Linked DNA regions of Lonchura striata. The main gene of each other region encodes a partner of the protein of the gene in region 2 in a complex. Links are inferred from orthologs where the notes say so. Each region holds a gene or a part of one and is shown on either strand. Other genes may lie near its edges.

Region 1 (6,754 bases), on a different chromosome or scaffold from region 2:
TATGCATGCGTGACATTCACACCAAAAGGAAAAGGTTTATTTCAAAATACAGAAAAGCAAAAACACAAGATAAAGCATTTCTTACTGTATATCAGGACTGTGAAAAAAACAAGAAGCTCCTCCATTGTTCACCTCAGCACCTTCACCAGTCCCAAGACTCTCTCTTGACCTGGCACCTTCCCCTACTACCTGAAAATGCAATTTTATCTTGGGGAGCCTCCTTCTTTCTTACAGCCTTAGAACAGTACAGCAGCCAGGACCCAAAACCATTCCCAAGATCAAGAGTTCTCCAAAGCAGAGTTCCTTCAGTGAAAACAGCTAGGGCTTCCATCTTTTACTCAGAACCAGAGGCCAAGCTAAGAAACAAGCAGGCATGGTTTGTCTCCTCTGCGATCACGACCCAGTATTTCTTCTCATCCCATTCTTAGGGCAGGATAGGTGACAAGTAAAAGCAAACCCTCCCTCCAAGGCAGCAGAAGATCAAAGAAAACCACACATCATGGCAATTAATTAATTTTTTATGTTTACAGTAGTCACTTAACATGGATACCAAGAGGTTTTAATAAAAATTCTGATACTGGAGTGAATTCATTGGGAAAGCTGTAGAAGACCAAAACAGCTGCTCTAAAATAGTAATTCCAAAGAAGAAAAAGTTGAGATCATACTGTGCTTTAAAAGTGAAGTTACATGGTTTAATTTGCATAGCACAAGCATACATCAGTAGCCAAGTTGCAGGCGTTGATAAAGCCCATCTCAATTTGTGTTATTGCATTTTTCTTTTAAATCTGAACAACTGGTTGCTGGTCTCTGGTAGAATCTAGGTAGGTTTACTGGCATTTGCTCTCCAGCAGCTCCACTTGGTTTCGCCAAGGAACATTCAACACTACGAAGTTGCAAATGGTGTGCTAAGGAAAGAAAGAAAAAAGTAGTTAGGAAACTAAGAGCATGAAAGAGTGTCATTTACCACTGTTCTTTACTCCTGTGGCTCTCTAGATATGCACTCTCCAGGCAAGTACTCTGGAGCGGCACTTTTGTACTCGGAGCAAGTCACATCTCTTAAATAAACCCTAAGAAATAAAGCTGAGCATCAGCACTGCTGACATTATCTCCTTTATCCACTCATAGAGGAAAGTTTTCAGCATGAATAACACTCAAACATAAGCCCATAGGCACAGCGAAGCCACGTGTGACAAATCACTGCAGTTGCCATAATGGTACACACCAGTTTTGTGCTTCTCTTATGTGCAGCTACACCTCTCACATAAGCAGGAACAAAGGGCACATACATCCTGTTGCTGCCATCAACAGAAGGAATTAAGCACTATGGAAAAACTCAGGCCAGGTGAAGGCAGATATGTTTGGTGCTCCCACCCAAAAAGCTCAATTACTCACTACAAAGTGCTTGGTAGGCACAAAGAGATGGGGTGATCTGCTTCTTTTGGGCAGTGCTTTGCCCAAGGCTCTATTCACAGCAATACAAGTCCCACAGGAAAGCATGCCACACATGTTTACATCACCATGGGAAAAAAAAAGAGGTAGGAATTCTATGAGGACTGAAGACTGAGAGCCAGGAGGCCTGTAGGCCTGACACAGTTTCCTCCACATACCCTTCTGATCCAGACCATGACTACTTCTTAAGAGGACTGAGACACATGCACTGCTCCAGCCTGAGTTCCACTTGAAAAACAGCTAAAAGGCCCTGCCTTCTCTGACATCAACTGGCAAGACAAGTTCTGCAAGGGCAAAGCTTGCTTTGCCGTGTTAAGTATAAGGGCATTATGTCTCTGATGTTGGCCAGGGCAGACAGGGGACTCTGACCACAGGCATCTGTACAAAGCCAGCCAGCGGGACAGGGCTGGAAATGGGGAAGAGTGGGGGTCAGCAGGCTGTGCCCTGGAGCCTACCTTGGCCATCTGTGGCTCCTCATGGAAAGCACAGTGCTGGATATCAGTTGCTGGCTTTGTGCAGGTTGTCCGGGCAATCTCCACTTCCATTATGTACTTGACTCCAGCCACGATCTGCAACAAGACAAGCAGGCAGAGGCAGCTTTACTCACAGCACACGGAGAAGCGCTCCGCCGAGAACCAGAGAGGCGGGCAGTGTTCCTGTTACATGATGGAAAACAGACTCTGAAAGTACAGAGGGAATTTTATGTGGCAACCTCCACTACAGAGGCACTTGGCACCCCCTTAGAAACAGGAAACAAAATCCAAGTAAACATGTCCCACAAAGCAGCTTCCTTAGCAATAAACACAGACATATGTTAACTCATGAGCAGCGCAGGGAAGCCGCTGGCTCCTTCCACAGCGCACAGCACTCAAGGTCACTCAGACTGAGAGAAGCCAAGATATAAAAACGGGCTTTTATTCACTTTCTGTGAGGGGAAAAGTTGCAGAGGCCCCCAGGCTAGCGACCTGCCCTTTCTCCAAAGGAATCCGGCCATCATATGGCACACTCCCAGCCCCCTAGGAGAGAGCACCCCCGGGCTCACCTGCCTCTGGGCGCTGATGACCCGCACCACCCGGCTGGAGTACATGTCGTTGCTGGCCCTGTTGTACGCCGTCATGGCGAACTGCAGAGCCCGCTCCAGCCCCTCGTCGTTCTCGGGGTTCTCGATGGGCTGCGGGGCGCCCACCATCCGCGGGCGGAGCCCGGCGCCCCGCACGGCGCCGGCGAAGCAGAGCAGGGCCGCCGCCAGCAGCACCAGCGCGGACACCCTGCCGGCCGCCATGGCTGCGCTCTGCCGCTCCCCTCACGCCGCCGCCATTTTAAAGCCGCGGGGCGGGCCGGGCCGGGCCGGGCGCGGTTTGGGGCCGAGCCCCGCCCCGCCCCGGCCGAGCCCCTGCACCGGCCCCGGGAGCGGCGCTGCAAAGCGGAGGAGGATGCTTTCCGCACGGGCGCGGGAAGCTGGAGGCTTTTCCCAGACTCTGCCTCTTCCTGGGTTATTCTTGTGCTTATTTCCCTCTGCTGCGAAAGGAAAACAAAAGCCACAGAGCATTTTAAGCTACCGGTGTTGTGTTCCCAGCACAAAACACCTTGAGTAATTTCCTACCTCTGCCTCCGCAGCGCTGGTGTTGCCTCACCTACGCTTCGAAGGGCCGAGGCGGCTTCCCAGACAGACGGATTGCTTCCCGTCTGCTCCCGAAATACCAACATTATCTCCTGTCCTGGTTAGGACAAATTTGGGAGAAAACCTCTGGAAGGAGCCCCCAGAAAACAAACCCCCACGCCCCCTCACACCCCCCCCCCCCCCCCCTTTGTTCGGGAAGAATTTTCTCGGCGAGAAGTGGGAAAAAAACCTGTTTATTTAACAAACAAAACACTGCCCAGCACCAAAAAATGAACAACACCAGATGACGACAAAACTCTTTCACCACTCTGAAGAGATGACAAATCCAGAAAGTCTCTCTTGGGAATGATGGCCCGGGTCTGGGCGCTGGGGATGGCTGCTGCTCTCGGTGTTTCCCACGTCCCAGCCCAGAGCAGTTTGGAATGATATTCAGGAAAGGGAAAGGGAAAAAAAACAGTCCAGGGAAAAAAATTGGACTGTTCAGCTAAACTAACAAGCAAAAGCAAAGGCAGAAGCAGAAGCAGGAGCAAGAGCAAGGAAGCAAAGCAAAGCAAGCCAGGCAGCATTACCTCTTCTAGACAACAGACCCTGGGGGGAGGTGAACCGGCTGATAACAAAACAAAACAAACCTTCACTTTCAGTCAGTTCTGAAAGCACAAAACATAATATCAGACATAAACAGAACATACTGTTGGGGATACAAGCACCATAACGTCACCCTAGGACATCTCCCTCGTCCCATCAGAAATCCTAAGTTTGGGAAGACAGGACTTATTATAGCCAGCTTCAGTGAGATTTAATGCCTCATGGAATTGTTAGGCTGAGAGAGGAGGAGGTTTTGCACCTGGATATCCACAACTTGCCTTATAATGGAAAGGGCTTATCTGCTGACTGGAAAGGCTGCCTGCATGCCAGAAATATCCAGCATGGAAAAATCCCTGCAGCTGGCAACAAGCTGAGCTATCAACACTGACAGGAATTGGGGTTGTTCTTGTAGCAAGAGAAATAGTCGTAGAATGACTTGGCTAGAAGGGACCTCGAAGATCATTTCACTCCAACCCCCCTGCGATGGACAGGGATACCTTCCACTAGACCAAGCTGCTCAAAGCCCTAGAATGAATGTCACCAAAATCACCTGCAGACACCCAAACAGAAACAAGCAGTTGTAGACTATTGCCAGTCCAAACCCCCTGAAATCAGGACATGAAACAAAGCAATTATGAGGAGAAAAAAAGGTTTGGCAAAAAAAATTATGTTCTACAGCTGATGAATAAAGGGCACCTTGTTCATGAAATAAAGCTGTACTTTGTCAGCTTGTTTATGCAGGGTGCAACAATCTTGCTCTATCAGAGGTGCTTTTTTAAAAATATAAAACAAATTCATGAATAACCAGATAAATAAAGAAGCTGGTAATTAAAGAACTTACTAAGCAGCAGAAGACTCATGATAACATTGCAAAAGTCTATAATACTGTGTGCCGTCAGTATAACTAGAAAAATAGTGGTTTAGCATCTTCTTTTGTGGTTGATATTTGAGCAATATCCAACATATTTTCATCTTCCTTTTTGTCTATGTTTCAATTTCACTCAGGACTGGTGAGCTTTTTATGGTACTAAGCTTACTAATTTCTCCATATAACTGCTACATCCCTTGCCCTTTCCCTTGATGTCCCTCATCTCTCTTTTACCATTCAAAAATATAGTTGTCAAACATGAAAATTTCACTTTTACAACTCTAACCATTATAAGATATGCATATGTGCAGAAAATCCTTCAAATAAATGTACTGTAGCCTCCAGCCAAAGCTTCTGTATGGGCACAGAGTTCCTGTGAAGTACAGTCAGCCAGGCCACTGTCCATCTGGAGAGTTATATGGACAGCTCTGTGTCTGTGGGATTGAAAGATAAAGTGCCATATTTAATCCGTTGGAAAGATTTGTAGGATTGAGCCCATGAAGACACGGACAACAGAAATGGCAGATGGAAGTTGGATGGTAACATCAATGGGTAGAGTTGCTGTGGTCCATGTCCTCAGAGTAGTTTTCATGGCCCAAAAAATACTTGGGGTTTCTGTTCTTAATGGAAAGAATATCTTTAAATGTGGTAATTTAACTTTGCAATTCCTAACATGTACACAGGGAATTCTTTGAACACAATTGCATAGTTTGGTTGAACTTCCCAGAAAAATCTCCACTGTGGCAGCCCCTCTCACTTTATCTGAGTACCTCTCCTCCAGGCCTGCTATCTGCATTTGGCTAAAGAAAACAGCCTTTGGCTGCTTCCTGTAGGGCTGGAAAGCACAGCCTGCAGAACTCTAATCTCTGCACAGCTCTCACACAGAAACGGAGCCTGCAGGAGGAACAATGGCTTTTGTTGTCACTCAGTAATGAGATAGCAAACCTCAGCTCACAAAAAATAATCATGCTCCCTACAGGTAGGAGATTACCTTTGAAATATCTCAAACTCAATACATTCTAAATGCCTTTTTGATCTGCTTTTTGACTCCTTTTTAAAATACATCAATCATAAATTAAGGTTAGATTTCCAAGTTTTCCTCTGTCAAACTGGCTGCCAGAACCAAATGCCGGGTTTGTATATGTTCACATGAGTCCAAGGGTCTCACAAAAAAAAAAAAAAAGGCCTCTTGAGCAAGACAGTCAGCAGTTTATGAGTTGGGTCTGAGAGTGATTCAATACCAAAGGCAAAACTATTTCACTGCAGTAGAAGAGTGTCCTCTGCTTATGGAAACGAACACATCCCACACCAGCTTATTCAGTGATGGTGGGAGAAAGAGTCTCTGCCTGCCTTTGAGACTCGTGGTCAGCAGTCCCTGCTCTGGCATGCAGTAGCTTTCACATACTGACAAGTTCTTGCCACAAGCCAACAGCCAGTAGTGGCTTTTCTGGATAGGCTGCAAGGTGATTGCCCAGCTGAAAAACAGTATATGCCAGGAGAGGCTTCAAGGGCACCAAAAGGCCGCTCTAAACATACTTCTGTGCTGGCAGTACAACTGGATTAGTAAAGACTCCCCCTCTCAAGTTCAATGACTCCTAAATAAGCTTAGCACTTAGTGCTGAGTGCACCTTTCATACAATTCAGTGGGAATAGAGCTATTGGGAAACACAGGCTCTCAGTCTGGGTGTTGAGCCCTCTTGAAAGCACAGCCTTAGATTTCTTGGGAACAGAAAAACCAAGTAACAGGAAAGAAGTTCACATAGCACTAGAGGGCTATTTACTCACTGGTGGTAACTTTTAGGAATTAAGTACCAAACATCTCTCAGCACTGATCTCAAGTAGGTCAATGATTATCACCCTGCAGAGGCATGGGACCTACACAACCCTCTGCTGAGTCCCAAGCTGCTCACATCACCTGTGGGATGAAAGCAGCACCTGCTTTGAATCCCTTTCCATTATGCCAGTGCAGAAGATAATCTGCCTCCAAGAAATTTGTATTCACTTGCAGACATCTGTTTAGTAATTACTGTAGTTAATCTGCCCTTATGCCCATGAGGGGAGGCATTGTTGTTTACACACAAGCAGTAAACAAAGTAATGGGCAGCAGGAAAAGCTGCATTTCAAATAACTGCATGCAATCAGTTATGGTCAGATTGTGCAACTGAAACAGTGAACCCACAGTACTAAAAGTGGGTGCTGGTTTAAGTGAAGTACTGGTGCACTTGGGATTT
Region 2 (6,906 bases):
GCTGTGATACCTGTGTTTGATTTTGGGGTGTGCTTGTGGTCACTCACCCACCCAGGGCACACACGGCCTCGTGCCCCCCAGGGGTCTCTGTGCACCTCTTCCCTGCATTCTTGCGGCCCCACAGTGTCATTGTCACTCGTGTCCCCGCTCATGGCCATAATCCCAGGAGATCCCCAAATCCCTCATGGTGTCCCCCCAGCCGTGGCTGACCCATCTGTCCTTCCCTGTGTCCTTCCTAGAACCACCCCCTCCCCAGATACTCCATCCATCCATCCATCCGTCCCAAAATTCCCCAGCAGTTTCTTCTCACCCTATTCTGCCTCACAAGGGGGTTCTTTGCCCCTCTGGGAAAAGGAAGATTTTTTTTCCCATCCCTGTGGCCCTTTCCCATCACAAAGCAAACTGGTCCAAGCCTTATTCCCAATTTTAGTTGAAAAATAAAAAGTCTTATCATTCTCAGCAGCCTCCACTGGGATACAGGGTGGAGGGAGAGGGATCTACTTTTTCTATTGGGAATATTCCACCTCCACCCCAGTGTTCCTGAGGCAGAGGCTGTTTCCTGAAGCATGTCTGGGTGGATTGGCCTTCACAGATCAGGCCAAGCACAGTCCATGGGATGGCAGAATCCAGCATGGCAAAATGTGGAAAACAAAGTTGAGGGGCTCATCCCCCATTCCCTGCAGGTGAAGAGGGGTGTCTCCCCCCTTCCCAGGGGAAATTTCTCACGGAGATAAAGAATTTCCCCTGGGAGCACCTTCATCTGTGAGACTGGGAGGGGAGAGGCCAGGCTGGAGGGCAGGGCAGTGGGTAGGGAAGGGCTGGGCGGGCTGGTCACATCTTGGGGAAGCTGGCCAGGTTGGCCACACCACAGGCGTTGTTCATGTTGCGGGCAAGGAGGACGTAGCCCTTGTTGCCCCATTCCTCGCCCCAGCTGGAGGGTGGAAAAGCAGAGCCTGAGCCTCTGGAAGAGCCCCAGCCACCTGCAATCCCCAAGCCATCCCAACCCCTGTACCTGTTCTTGATGATCCAGTGCTTGGTGCCCTTCTGTGCCCCGTAGCCCACGGCCAGCACGGCGTGGTTGATGTTCTCGGCGTTGCAGCTCTCGTCGTAGTACACACCTTGGGGACACAGCCGGCGTCACCGGGCGTGCCCCAGGTCCCCGAGCAGCCCCACGAGCCCCGCTCTGCCCCCAGCCCCTCACCCCGGCTGTAGAACTGGAAGGAGGGCAGGCTGGCATCGATGCCCACGGCGATGGGACCGATCCGGGCCACCGCCCTCTTCAAAGCCTTCTCATTCCCCTCGGGGATCTCGCGGTAGCCGCGGCACTTGGCCGCCTTCCCAGTGGGGCTGTACATGCAGCTCTCGTCCTGCGTGGGGCCGGGAAGGTCAGGGTGAGATGGGGATGGGAGGGATGGAGGGGGATTTGGGGCTGTGCCCCCTCACACCTGGCCAATGTAGGGATAGGAGTCCTCGGAGTCGATGCCGCGGTTCTGCCGGACGTACTCGAAGGCGTTGGTCATGTACCCGCCCCCGCAGCCGTCGTTGTTGGCCACGCAGTCCACCAGGTTTTGGGGGCTGAGGGACAGCAGTTTCCCCGTTTTCCTCTTCAGCTGCCCCTCCAGGGCACCCACCGAGCTGAAAGCCCAGCACGAGCCACACTGGCCCTGTGGGGACACAAGGGGTGACACCGGGGTGACACCGGGGTGACGCCTGCTCCAGACTCACCTGTCTTACCTGGTTCTTGACAGGGGTCACATAGCCTTTCTTGCGCCAGTCCATGGCAGCCGGGGCTCTCTCGGTCCAGTCGGGGACAAAGAGTGTCTCGTTGTGGCGTTGGTGACCGCGGGGCACCTTCAGCCCTGTCATTGTCCTCACCACCTCCTCGCTGGTCTGGGGAAGGAGCCCCGGTGGGTGAGCAGGGTGGGTGGGAGCACCCACGGGTGCTCAGCCCCACTGTCTCCCCTGCCAGGGACACCCACCATGTCACCCAGGTGGTTCATGGCCAGCTCGAAGGTGTGGATGCCCAGGGAATGCTCCAGGTTGTGGGTGTTGATGTATTTGAGGTTCTTCTCCCAAATCAGCCTCCGCGTCACCTCGTCCGCCTGCACCGGGGGCAGATGGTGCTGGCACAGGGGTCCTGCTTGTGCCCCCCACCCTCGGGACATCCTTGTGCCCCACTCCCCACCCTGGGGGTCCCAAGCACCGGGCCCCCCCGTACCTGCCCGTTGTATTGCTTGCGGTGGGTTTTTTTCCACAGCTCCCACTGCGCGTCCAGCTCCGGCTCCGGGTGCAGCTGGGCCAGCGCCGCCGGGACCAGCAGGGCCAGCAGCACGGGCCACCACATCCTGGGGACCAGCTGAGCACTGGGACAGGGCACAGGCTGAGCCAGGGGTCCGGCTGGGGGCAGGACCCTGAGCCCACCCTCCTGTGGGAACAGAACCTCCTGCACACCCCGATTTGGGGCCAGGACCCCTTGCGCACCCTGATTTGGGGCTGGGACCCGCTGCCAACCCTGGCTGGGGACTGGGACCCCTTCCTGCCTGGGTTTGGGGCCAGGACACCCCCGCGGGCAGGGCTGGCCGGGCGCCGGCATCACATGAGCCGGGACAGCCGGTTCCCGTTACCCGGAGCCAGGGGGGAGATTTGGGATGCCGAGGGTGCAGGAGGGAGAACGTTCCCCCATCCTGCCCCTCCCTGGCTTCACCCAGCGCCCCCAGCCCCCCGTGGCACGGCAGGACCCGGGACACTTCCCCGAGCCGGGGATCCCCAGGCCGGCTGGACGTCAAGTGCCTCAGTTTCCCTTTTCGTGCCTCCGAGGGTCGCACACGGGAGCCGATTCCCTCCCATTCCCCCTGGGATCCATTTCCCTGGGGAAAAAGCCACCCAGCGCCCCCCTGGGGGACCCCTCCCCGCCGCTTACCCAGCACGGAGCCGTCGGTGGGAGCGCCGGGACGGGGCCTGCGGGAGCCGCGGCCGCTGCGCTTTTATGCTGCTGGATTGAGGAAGTTTGGAGGCGGCCGGAAAATTTTGGCAAACATCGGGTTCGGATGGGAAGGAGGGGACAAGGAGGGGGGACGAGGGGGCTGCCCCGGCTTCACGTGATGCTGCGGGAGGAGCTGAGTCAGCCCCGGCGCGGGGCGGGCGGCGGGTCCTGCCCGGGACATCCTCCTGTCGCCGGGATGTTCTCCTGTCCCCGGGATGTTCTCCTGTCCCCGGGATGTTCTCCTGTCCCCGGGATATTCTCCTGTCCCTGGGATGTTCTCCTGTCCCCGAGATGTTCTCCTGTCCCCGGGATGTTCTCCTGTCCCTGGGATATTCTCCTGTCCCTGGGATATTCTCCTGTCCCCGGGACGTCCTCCTGTCCCCGGGACATGCTCCTGTCCCCGGGACGTTCTCTTGTCCCCGGGACACCCTCCTGTCCCCGGGATGTTCTCCTGTCCCCGGGACATGCTCCTGTCCCCGGGACACCCTCCTGTCCCTGGGATGTTCTCCTGTCCCTGGGATATTCTCCTGTCCCCGGGACATCCTCCTGTCCCCGGGACGTCCTCCTGTCCCCGGGATGTTCTCCTGTCCCGGGACGTTCTCCAGTCCCAGCATTCTGCCCTGGGGACACCCTCCTGTCCCAAGGATCCCGGCCCCAGGGACACCCTCCTGTCCTGGCATCCCAACTTGGGGATGTCCTGCTGCCCTGGGGACATTCTTTTGTCCTGGAATCCCACGCTGGGGACATTGTCTTGTCCCAGCATCCCACCCTGGGGACATTCTGCCGCCCTGGGGAACTCCCACGTTGTCCCCAAGTCCTCCCCGTGGCCGAATCGGATGGAGCTGAGCACCCACTTCCTTCAGGAGCAGCCGGACACGGCAGCTCGGGGACATCGTGTGCCAGCAGGAGCGGAGGACGGGACCCCAGCTCTTGTCCCCAGTGTCCCCAACCCGGGGCTGCCTCCCAGTTTGGGGGTCCCTGGCCGGGGGAGGTGGGGCCGGACGGTGCTTTCTGCAGTGACCGTCACCTCGTCACGCGGCTCCTGCCACGACAAGGCGGAGGGGCCTGGTGGCACCAGAGCCATCCCAGATGTGTCACGCTGGGGACATCCACATCATCATCGCTGTCACCCTCCAGCCACGGGAACGAGGAGGAACCAGCCCAGCGACCAGGAGGGGAGGGGGGGGATGGAGCAGCACCAAGGTGGGGGTGCGTCCCTGTCACCCCTACCCCACGGGGGTCCCCAGGAGAGGGGCCACCCCCCTGTGACCCGAAGCTCTGTGGGGACAGGGGGGCTGAGTCACCCCGGGGCTCCAGGGCAGAATCATCGCCCGGAGCACGAGGCCCTGACGTGGCAGCGAGTGACCGGGAACCGAGGGGACCAACGGGGAAATGGGGGAGGACGAGGGCTTGGGGCAAAATGGGAGGAGGAGGATTATGGGGGGGAAAATGGGGGGATAGGGGCTTGGGGGCCAAAGGGACAAAACAAGGAGGGAATGAGAGTTGGGGCCAGAGCGGGGAGGGGATGGGGATTTAGGGACATTCCTCAAGATGGGGACAGAAAGAGGCAGAAATGAGACAAAGGCTGGGAAAAGGGAAAATCTCTTGTGGGAAAATCTCCTGTTGGAAAATCTCTGCTGTCCAGAATCCACCAGGCCGAGATACCTGAGGCTGGGACACACCTGGGGGGGGTTCAGCTCCTGTCCCCCCAGGGAATGTAGGATAAAATTCCACCCCAGGACAAACACTGGAGTTCCCAAAGAGGGGGAAAGGGCCCAGCCCGTCCCCTGTCCTTGTCCCACATGCAGCAGCCCCTGGGAACCCTGTTAGCTGCTCCTCATCCTCCTTCCCAACAGATTTGACTGCTCCTGGTTTCCTTCTCCCAGGATCTGGAAAATCTGGGGGGGGATACAGCCACAGGACCTGCAAGGGCTCAGGGAAATGGGAATTTTCCTTCTCCTTTCAGAACTAAAGGGGAAGGGCCCAGGATGTGATGGGATGCTGGGGAGGAGGTTATTGCTGGGAACAAGCTCCCTGGATAATGGGACAGGGTGGATCACAGGATGTCTTCAAATGGGATGTTCCCACTTATCCATAGAGAACTTTGGAATTAAAAAGACCCAAAAAACAAACAACTAAAACAAAACCTTCAAGTCTTAATTTTCCAGAGGGAAAAGGGGAGGGAAAAATAAAGCTTCCTGCTCCACTTACAAGAGGAATCTCTCTGGGCTGGTGACACAAAGGTTTCAAAGCTTCCTACGTGGATTTGTCAGGAATGACAGCTCTGGAATCAGGTCTTGGAAAAGGGGGGCTCCCCCCATTCTTGCCCTCAGCCAGCAGAGAGAACACTCACAACCAGCCTGGGGGTCCCAGAGCCCCCCCTCGACATGCAGGAAAAAGGGGGGAACACCCACATTCCATTCAAAACAAAACCAGGCTTCCAGGAACACTTGGGATTCTTCCCCAGCTGCTGTTGAGCCAAATTTCTTTCCAAGTCCAACTCTGCAATTCATCTTCCTGTTGGAATTGAAGCAAGAAGGAATCAAATGGTTCTTCCAGCCCCTGAGGAGAGCAGGGTTGGCCACAAGTTGTTTGTTTTTTTTCCATGGAAAAAGCCAGAAGATTCCAAGTCAATGTTTAAAAATTAAAAATTTATATATATAGATATATATATATATATATAAAAAATTTCATTCTGTTCCCTACTTTTCCAGCTCTCCTCTTACTCTTTGTCATTTGGCAACAGGATCATCCCATGGCAGGAATTCTTCTTTAAGGAGATGGTGAGTGAGCAAATGTAGTGAAAATACACAGTTCCTCAGCAATTCCCTGATCAAATCCAGGGATTCTCCTACATCCAGCTCCAAAACGAGGACAAGGAACTCATCTACATGTGATAAAATTCCATGGACAGCGTGGAGCAGGTTTTATCCCAAAAAACCTCTTGAAACGTCCATTTGTGGCAGCACAGAAACCATCAGCTGGAAAATGGATTCATCCAGAAGAAAGCTACATGGGGTAATATTTTTATGGCTTGTTAATTATTCTGGGTAACGAGGGATCATGGGTCACACTGATTTCATTGCACAGTTCACAGGAGAGGAGATTCCAAACAAACACAGGAATCTCCACACGGAGCACCCTGGACTGGAGACGCTGTAACAACCCTCCAAAAACAGCCAAAATTCCTCCAAAAAGGAGGAAAACACTGGCTTAGGACACGGATTCTTACTCAAGCATTCTCCAGGATTGTGTTTACAGGGATAACACTTGGAAGAGTTCCTTCCAGTATTACAAAAATTCCAATAGTTTGTGTTTTATACAAAAAGTCACGGCAGAGAATGAAATAAAAACAGTCAAAGCCACCTTAAAAGTTTGGAAGGGCTGTCTGTGATCCAGACAGGAATCTCTCCCAAAAAAGAATCCACTCGGGAGTGGCTCTGGGAGCCCTCGGCCTCATGGCACTCAAGTCCTGAAGCTTCCAGAACAATCCCACATGGAGGAGGTGTCCAAACCACCTCCTCTTCCATGGCCATCCCTCCTTGGAGCTCTGCTTCCAGAAGGTGGGAAGTGTTTAGACAGTTCCTTGAGAAAAAGACTCTGCTGTTTTCCTTTACATGTGGATATTGTAGAGAGCTTTATGTTGTTTCCCCTAAGGCTTGTTTTATTCGGAAAAAGAAGGGAATATATTCAGCTCTGGGAATTCTTCATTGTTGTAGTTGGGCCCTTGGTCCCCCAACATGGTCAGCATGTCCTGTGAGGATACAAGGAGAGAGTCAGCATCCAGACTGGAATATCGAGGTGTGCCAGGGAGGTTTGGATTGGAAATTAGGGGGAACAGCTGGACTCCCATCTCAGAGGTTTTTCCAACCTCAACAATTTCATGGCTCCATGATCATGTGGGAAATTTAATAATGGGTTTG

The links. The genes of interacting proteins can lie anywhere in the genome.
Region 1: the proteins of CTSK (region 2) and cystatin are in contact, whole or in part, in a crystal structure (PDB 8V57), measured with the Mus musculus proteins. The link is inferred for Lonchura striata from reciprocal best matches to the Homo sapiens genes CTSK and CST3. Residues at the interface, in NP_031828.2 of Mus musculus: Asn132, Gln133, Gly134, Gln135, Cys136, Gly137, Cys139, Trp140, Glu173, Asn174, Tyr175, Cys177, Gly178, Gly179, Gly180, Tyr181, Met182, Ser248, Ala251, Ser252, Gln257, Phe258, Val274, Asn275, His276, Ala277, Ser297, Trp298, Ser301, Trp302; in NP_034106.2 of Mus musculus: Pro27, Arg28, Met29, Leu30, Gly31, Ala32, Pro33, Gln75, Leu76, Val77, Ala78, Val80, Asn81, Tyr122, Pro125, Trp126, Lys127, Thr133.

Annotation. Positions count from the first base shown.
Region 1 is NC_134605.1:22,612,253-22,619,006, reverse strand, and holds cystatin, read right to left. Parts: upstream 2,760-6,754; 5' UTR 2,732-2,759; coding exon 2,492-2,731; intron 2,019-2,491; coding exon 1,905-2,018; intron 906-1,904; coding exon 828-905; 3' UTR 501-827; downstream 1-500. UniProt on the Homo sapiens protein: As an inhibitor of cysteine proteinases, this protein is thought to serve an important physiological role as a local regulator of this enzyme activity.
Region 2 is NC_134635.1:2,853,355-2,860,260, forward strand, and holds CTSK (cathepsin K), read right to left. Parts: upstream 3,025-6,906; 5' UTR 2,921-3,024; intron 2,364-2,920; 5' UTR 2,345-2,363; coding exon 2,219-2,344; intron 2,103-2,218; coding exon 1,980-2,102; intron 1,891-1,979; coding exon 1,735-1,890; intron 1,665-1,734; coding exon 1,446-1,664; intron 1,368-1,445; coding exon 1,202-1,367; intron 1,119-1,201; coding exon 1,013-1,118; intron 932-1,012; coding exon 832-931; 3' UTR 413-831; downstream 1-412. Other genes in the region: ARNT (aryl hydrocarbon receptor nuclear translocator), read right to left, coding at 6,648-6,737. UniProt on the Homo sapiens protein: Thiol protease involved in osteoclastic bone resorption and may participate partially in the disorder of bone remodeling. Displays potent endoprotease activity against fibrinogen at acid pH. May play an important role in extracellular matrix degradation.